Linked DNA regions of Bombyx mori. The protein of the gene in region 1 purifies or fractionates together with the protein of each later gene. This does not show direct contact. Links are inferred from orthologs where the notes say so. Each region holds a gene or a part of one and is shown on either strand. Other genes may lie near its edges.

Region 1 (4,356 bases):
CCATTGCGTATAGCGGAATGAGCCACTGAACTTTTTAATTTTCGACATCGTAACAACGCACTGTTTAGGTCGGCAGAAAATTTAAAGATCTCTGTATACGTTGAGGACGTTTAATTGTAGGCATATGGTATTTTTATGACGAAATTAATGTTATAAACTAATATTAAAAAGTCACTGTTTTATCAGCTGGCTTGGACCTTAGGGTCCTTAGGTGTATTATTTATAGATCTGTGACTGTCACTATGTTAACACAGATAACAAATATGCTGTCACTGTCTTGCTTAATCTATTTCTAAAGTCGAAGGTTTTTTTGCAATGTGATGACATTCCGTAAAATTTCTTAATTTTTCACTTAATTGCATCTGTTAAACACGGTCTACACAAATAAATATGACTTTTTGGCGGGAACGCGAGGAGTGAAGTTATGCGATTTGTTTTATTTTGTCTATTTAGTGTTTCTTCACGTTTAAATGTGTAATAACGGTGGTTTATTAACTATTTAATATCTGTGAAAGTGAAGTGATAATATAGTATGAAATAAAAATTTTTGATAAATTTTATGACCTGGCAACTAAGACTTTTAAGTCATGTCTTTTAATTTAATTTATTTTCTTATTTTTATGAAAAATTATAATATGGAGTGAAATGAAATTTAATGAAAGAAAATTATTAACTTGAGACACTAATAAACTGGGATGAAATTAAATGAAATGAAATGAGATGATATTATATGGAATGAAATATAATCTCAATAAAATGTTGGTCATTTACTGAAAGTTTCCAATGGACTTTTTGGAAAATCCCGAGAAGTAACTTTCAGCAACTTTGTTTCATTTTCCCACATTGGTGCACTTTCACAGATACTAAATAGTTAATAAACCACCGTTATTACACATTTAAAGCTGAAGAAACACTAATTAGACAAAAAAAAACAAAATCACACAACTACACTCCTCGCGTTCCCGCCAAAAGTCTCGTATGTTTTTTTTAGGGATTTTATAACTTGGTAACTAAGACCTTTAAGTCATGTCTTATTTTAATTTATTTTCTTATTTTTATGAAAAATGATAATATGGAGTGTAATGAAATGAAATGAAGATGATTAATTTGAGATATTAATCAACTGTTATGAAATTAAATGAAATGAGATGATATGGGATGAAACATAATCTCAGTAAAGTGGTGGTTATTTATTGAGATTTTTTTCAGTGGGCTTTTTGGAGGATCCCGATAAGTTATGTCTAGTGGCTTTGTTTCATTTTCCCACATTTGTGCACTTTCACAGATATTAAACAGTTAATAAACCACCGTTATTACACATTTAAACCTGAAGAAACACTAAATAGACAAAATGTGGCAAAATGAAACAAAGCCGCTGGACATAACTTATCGGGATCCTCCAAAAAGTCCTCTGAAAAAATCTTAGTAAATGACCACCATTTTACTAATATCATATCATTTCATTTAATTTCATCCCAGTTGATTAATGTCTCAAATTAAACATTTTCTTTCATTTAATTTAATTTCACTCCATATTATCATTTTGCTTAAAAATAAAATATAAATTAAAATGAGATACGACTTAAAGGTCTTTGTTACCAGGTCATAAAATACCTTTAAAAAAAATAAAAAAAATAACACATGTTCTTGTTTTCGTTCAGTGGATTATACACATGATATTATTGCTTAAACATTACATATAACTGTGCAATACAAAAATGGTAATTATAATACACTAACAAAAAAAAGATAAATATGAAATACGACTAGAGTTTTTACCTCAAAATCTGAGTATTCAAATTAACCTTTTCAAAACTAGAAAAACGATCTTTGGAGATTCACTTTTATATTTTATAACAACTTTTCAAATAGCGAGTCTTAGAGACAAAATAGAAATAAATGTAAAACCTTACCTTGTTCCAGCCTAAAACAAAAAAGAAATTCATAGATAAAAAGAAAGCGGTGACGTTTAACCTAGTACACAGATCTCAAAGAGATCCTCTGGCCGCCGACGAAACAGCCCCGCAGCGAGTATTAGTGCCCGTAAACACAATCATCCCACCTACAAAGGATAAAGATACAGTAAGTAAAAATACTCTCCAACTACAAGCTATCTGTTACACACTACAATAGAAGCCATGTATCCTTACTTCCTATCCTTACTTTCCAATCCTCGCCATTTTTGAAAAAGGTAGCTTACTTAATTCTCCCATCACTGAGAATGGAAGTTTTCTAACACCTTACTGACTTGTGTAAAGATAATATTATTTTCGCAAGAAGTACTATGCAGAAGCTAGAGATTTGTATTATAGTTTGTATTTTGTCAAAGTTCATACCTATATTGTTAAGAATGGGTTTCTGTTTACAAGAAGTGTGGCTATGGTAGTTTTCCTATTACAGCACAAGAGAGCATTATGCGGCATAATGCTCAACATTGAATGTTCCCACTACAGCAATGCTTCGCACAATCGAGCACTCTCAAAAGTACTGCTCTCGCGTGATACTCGCAATCGATACCGACTCAGTGACAGAAAAAGGACAAGTGTTTTTTTCTTTAAGTTGGCATTGATCGAAATTTTGTTTATATTATCGTTAGTAATATTATTTAATGTTGAAAAAAATTGTAAGGCTTTCGTTTCGTCGTAGTTTCTTAGAAATAATCAATGTTAATTAAAACTGTGCTAACTTAGCGCACTCTGCTGATGCATTTGAAAACTAATTCACGTTCCAATTAAGCTTCAGCATAATTCGGCATTGTGCGTCACTGAGTCGCATTATGCTCTGTAATTGGAAAACTACCTATTTCCACTCTCAGTTTCATCCACATGGGCGTAGTAAATGAGTCGTATAACTTAAATTTTTGATTTAAATTAAACCCATAAGCTATTAAATTCACTTCCTGAATCAAAGTATTATGGCAGTGATAATCATGTGTGGTCAAGTGGTATATGAAAAAGGACAATGCCCTTCAATGCCCGTTGCTTAGATATATTGAAGAACTCTTTTAAATGATTTTTATTTTATTTTAGGAATACACACCTGAACAACGCAAAGAGGAACAAAGGAAATACGGTATATATTACGACGATGACTACAATTATTTGCAGCATCTCAAAGACACAAAAGAGGTTACACTTGTGTTGCAGCCTGTGAGTTTTTTTTAATTCTTTCTACGTAGTTATGGTTGTTGAACTTGTATGAAGAACTTTTTTCAATAGAAAAACTGTTAACGACTTGCAGGATTTGACCACTGAGTCGCATCACTCCATATATATACACCAAAAGATTTATTCTTTAGTTCATGATAACTTAAAAAAAAAACGAATATCATACAAGATTATTCATTATTAAGAACTATATTTTTATTTGATTTACTTACTGATTGCATGGTTCTCCCAAATATTCAGAATGTAGTTTCAACTGTCTAGTAGCAAGTCGGGATTGGCTTGTATCAATGTAACTCTGTTGATTAACAACACTCAACACGCATTCTTATCTTCTGTACACAACATTAAGTAGAGAAAAATTAAGAAAATAATTGTTTAGTGTGTAATACATAAAGTCAGTCCGTATCGGGTATCCAATGACCTCTTCGTACGGTGCACTGTTATATGTTTCGCATGTTTGCACTAACAATAATTTTTACAATACAGAAAACTCCACATAAGAAGAAGCCAACGGAATCAACAAAAACTGATGAAATCATCGATGAAGATGAAGAGCCGTCCATTCCAGTCACAGAACGTCTGATGCTGCCCAGTTCGGTGTTCGCTTCTGAATTTGAAGAGGATGTTGGTTTACTCAATAAAGCTGCTCCACAGGGTCAGTTTTTTGTTTAATTGATTCGATTACTGAACGGTCGAAGGATCAGTTGAACGGTCTCTTCGTTCTTTTGTCGACAATTTTATCTTATACCTTTAAACGAGCAATTCTTGTATATCTATACTAGCGACCCGCCCTCGCTTCGCTTCGGAAACATTAAAACACACATGAAACCAAAAAAATTAAATATTTTTTTTTTAAAAAAAAGTAGCCTATGTTCATCAGGGACAATGTCGGCTTCTAATGGAAAAATAATTTTTCAAATCGGTCCAGTAGTTTCGGAGCCTATTCGAAACAAACAAACAAACAAATCTTTCCTCTTTATAATATTAGTATAGATATAATCTGAATCTTGGAAACGGCTCCAACGATTTTCATAAAATTTAGTATACAGGGGATTTCAGGGGCAGTAAATCGATCTAGCTACGATTTATTTTCAGAAAATGTTGTTTTTTTCGTGTTTTCAATAATCAGCTTTATCAATAATCAACTTTATGACTCTACCCGACATCTATTGGTGAATAATAATACTAT
Region 2 (4,217 bases), on another chromosome or scaffold:
CGTCCATCCCTTTCCATTAAAACACAATGTTTTAATGGTACTTTGATACTTATTATACTTTTAATTACTTTGAATAAATTAAAACAGCCTTTTTACAGTGAAATTTAATTTCATGGATTAAATATTTTATATTCTGCAGTCCTTGTTCGTATGTAAGTAATTCTGACCTGTAGGACAAACTCAATAAAGGGGGAGAACAAAATAAATGGTTTATGCATATGAAAGCTCTCTAGAAAACTCAGCAAGATTTCAACAACAAGATTCATCACTAACAAATCCATTCTTTTTTTATTGCTTAGATGGGTGGACGACTTTACCTGATATTAAATGGTTACTGGAGCCCATAGACATCTACAACGTAAATGCGCCACCCACCTTGAGATATAAGTTCTAAGATCTCAGTATAGTTACAACGGCTGCCCCACCCTTCAAACCGAAACGCATTACTGCTTTACGGCAGAAATAGGAAGGGCGGTGGTACCTACCTGTGAGGACTCACAAGAGGTCCACCAGTAAGTACCACCAGTAATTACGCAAATTATAATTTTGCGGGTTTGATTTTTATACACGATGTTATTTCTTCACCGTGGAAGTCAATCGTGAACAATTGTTAAGTACGTATTTCATCAGAAAAATTGGTACCCGCCTGCGGGATTCTAACATCGATGCATCACTAGATCCGAATGCACCGGACGTCTTATCCTTTAGGGCACGACGACCTCAAAATTCGACATCTTCTGAAACTGCCGTTTTTGAACCAGAAATAGTTTATAGTTCCAGAAATCACGCTATAAAACAGGATCGTGTACAAATGAATAGACAATAACAATAGTTAAATAAAAAAAATATATATGTTTTTTAAACTGGCGGAAAGCCACGTTCAGCAATTTTGTTTCATTTCCCTGCTTAAGAGACTTTTGCTAAAATTATATGATTACCTAATAACTTGTAACCATTAAAAACTGTATAAAGAGGAAGAAATTCTAAACTGAGAAAATGAAATCGCTTAAATAATAAGCGTCCTAAAATTAAGTCAAAAGGTCCCTAATTAAACTGAAATGCACCGCTGCCTAAAACTGTTTTAAATTAATTTAAATATGTAATTCCTTTTCCAGTCATTTTTTTTAAATTTCATGGAAAAGACATGGCTTTAACCTTTATTACAAAATTAATTATTAATTAAATTATTTTTCTTTTGCCTTGTCAATGAACGAAAAGGAAAAAAAACGGATGTAAGACTGGTTTTGTATTATCTATGACTGGTATATTATCTATGACCAGATTGGGACTTTTTGGCGGGAACGCGAGGAGTGAAGTTGTGTGGTTTGTTTTATTTTGTCAATTTAATGTTTCTTCAGGTTTACATGTGTTATACACATAATAACGGTGGTTTAATAACTGTTTAATATCTGTGAAAGTGTATAAAGTTGCTGGACGTAACTTCTTGGTATCCTCCAAAAAGTTCACTGAAAAAATCTCAGTAAATGATTACATTACACTGAGATTATATTTCATCCCATATCATCTCATCTCATTTCATTTCATTTCATGTCAGTCGATTAATGTCTCAAATTAATCATCTTGATTTCACGCCATTTTATCATTTTTCTTAAAAATAGGAGACGTGACTTAAAGGTATTAGTTACCAAGTCATAAAGTACCTTATCAAAAAGATTGTCAACATGTGCTTTTTTTATTAGTAAATAAATTCAAATTGAAATCAGCTAGCTTGCATTTAAGTTTTGAAAAACAGTCAAAATGCAACAACCACATCGTCCCGGCCATTTCAAGCAGAGCAATAAAACTCATAAATCACGCCATCGCTCAAAACGAGGTATCGCCGCTGCTGTAAAAGGTTAGGATGTTTTCACTAAACCTATAAAATCGCTATTATAACTTTATTTACCTAAAGCTGTGTTTCAGGAAAAGTCAACTTGAAAGAAATTGTTCGACGTAATCGTCGTGAGCTTAGAAAAGACGATCGCCGTCATCAGGCTTCACAAATTCGCAAAAATAAAAGGGAAGAGGTTCTAGCTACGAAACGTGCTTTAGGAGGCACTAGGAATCCGCCGTTTCTAGTTTGTGTCGTTCCGCTTAATGCGCAACTCGATGTAGGATCGGCACTCGCCATTCTGAAGACCTGTTCTGATGGGGCTGTCGTAAACGAGTCTGAAAACGGAATTGTACACATCGGGTATGTTTATGTTTGTACTATGAACATAAAGCTAGACCTCAAAATTGACAGTAATTTTGCTGAAAATAATTATTTATCATTCTAGGTTGCCAAATTTCAAACAGCGGTTTTCGTTTATTTGTCCTGAAGTAGGTGACGACTTTGCACTTCTTGATGTTTTAAAAATAGCTGACACTGCCCTCTATGTAAGCTCAGCTTTAGAGGAACCAGTTGATGAATGGGGAGAAAAAGTTTTAGCACTCTCTATGGCCCAAGGAATGCCTACCCCTGTAGTAGTAGCAATGGATATAGAGGGAGTCCACCCAAAGAAACGCACTACAGAAAAACAGAATGTTCAGAAATTGGTCTCAAAATGGCTTCCAGAAGAAAAGGTAATGCAATTAGATAAAAAATCAGATGGTTTGAACTTGTTAAGGAAAATAGGAAATCAGAAACGTAACATAATACATCATAGAGAGAAAAGACCTTATATGCTGGCTGAGGAAGTTGAATATGTACCCGATTTAGAAGGTAACAGTGGTACTTTAAGAGTATCAGGGTATTTACGAGGAATGGCACTTAATGTCAATGGACTTGTTCATATTACTGGACTTGGTGACTTTCAAATGACTAGAATAGAGGGTTTTGAGGACCCCCACCCATTTCATTTGGGGAAAGAAAATACTAATGATGATGGTATGTATGCTGAAGTCACAAAAATGTCAGTTCTCGCAGTAGCTGATCCTGCGAAGCAAGAGAGTCTTCAATCAGAGAATGTGCCAGACCCTATGGATGCAGAGCAGACCTGGCCAACTGAAGAAGAAATTGAACAAGCTAATTTAGAGGTAATGTAAAAATAATTGTAAAAATATTGTCAAGTATATTTTGCTGGAGAGTAGTACATCTTGATTCAAAACATAAAGCATTGATTTTTTTTTTTTATTGCCTTTGTAGGCAGACGGGCATACGGCCCACCTGATGGTGAGTGGTTACCGTCGCCCATGGACTTCAGCAATGCCAGGGGCAGAGCCAAGCCGCTGCCTACCGCATGTAATGCAAATAAATAATTACAAAATTGTCTAAACTGTTTACAGACACAAAAGAAAAAAATCAAGAAAGTACCCAAAGGTTGGTCTGATTACCAAGCTGCTTGGATTGTCGAATCTGATGCCGAGGAAGATGGTGATGAGTCTGATAGTGGAGATGAGAAAGAAAACGATGAGTTTATGTCTTGTGAAGATGATAATTCTGATCCAGAGGACGATAAACAGTTCAATGATATTGAATCTGTTACCGAATCAGAGGTTGGACCCACAGATGAGAAGTATGATGCCACAATAGACACTCAGGAAGAACATGAGATGTTGCAGAAGTTAGCAGCTGCAAAAGAAGATCAGCAATTCCCTGATGAAGTTGATACCCCGCAAGATATCCCAGCTAGAGAGCGTTTTATGAGATACAGAGGACTAGAGTCTTTCAGGACATCAGCATGGGATGTAAAGGAAAATTTGCCTCAGGATTATTCTAGAATATTTCAGTTTGAAAACTATGAGCGCACCAGGAAGAGGGTTTTTAAGGAACTCGAAGACAGTTTAGTTAATATGGTAAGTAGAGTATAGAAAACTTTTTTTTTTTCAATATTCATGTTGTGTTCGTTAACAGTTTAATTTATGTATGGTATTGATTTAATACAAAACCAAACATTTTATTACAGTATGGCTTTTATATAAGAATACATGTAAAAGGTGTTCATCAAGATTTATGGAAAGCCTTTAGTACAGCAAATCCGAATGCTCCGTTGGCTGTTTTCGGACTTTTACCACACGAACACAAAATGTCTCTGATGAATGTAGTATTAAAACGCACTGGTGCCTGCAATGAACCTATCAAGAGCAAGGAAAGACTTATATTCCAAGTTGGTTATAGAAGGTTCATTGTGAATCCTATATTCAGTCAGCACACCAATGGCAGTAAGCATAAGGTGAGCTTTATTAAAATGTAATGTACAATGATATATCTGGCAAACAAGTGTTAAGTTAATGGG

What was found.
Region 2: the proteins of protein LTV1 homolog (region 1) and pre-rRNA-processing protein TSR1 homolog purify together in Homo sapiens (co-immunoprecipitation; 4 studies listed by BioGRID and IntAct, counting the BioPlex papers as one, with this or other methods). This does not show direct contact. The link is inferred for Bombyx mori from reciprocal best matches to the Homo sapiens genes LTV1 and TSR1.

What each region holds. Positions count from the first base shown.
Region 1 is NC_085126.1:10,531,305-10,535,660, reverse strand, and holds the start of protein LTV1 homolog, read left to right. Parts: upstream 1-1,517; 5' UTR 1,518-1,718; coding exon 1,719-1,721; intron 1,722-1,923; coding exon 1,924-2,082; intron 2,083-3,029; coding exon 3,030-3,149; intron 3,150-3,653; coding exon 3,654-3,822; intron 3,823-4,356. Other genes in the region: SCF apoptosis response protein, read right to left, coding at 1-48. UniProt on the Homo sapiens protein: Essential for ribosome biogenesis.
Region 2 is NC_085128.1:3,653,700-3,657,916, reverse strand, and holds the start of pre-rRNA-processing protein TSR1 homolog, read left to right. Parts: upstream 1-1,289; 5' UTR 1,290-1,323; intron 1,324-1,619; 5' UTR 1,620-1,758; coding exon 1,759-1,855; intron 1,856-1,923; coding exon 1,924-2,194; intron 2,195-2,279; coding exon 2,280-3,018; intron 3,019-3,267; coding exon 3,268-3,777; intron 3,778-3,887; coding exon 3,888-4,154; intron 4,155-4,217. UniProt on the Homo sapiens protein: Required during maturation of the 40S ribosomal subunit in the nucleolus.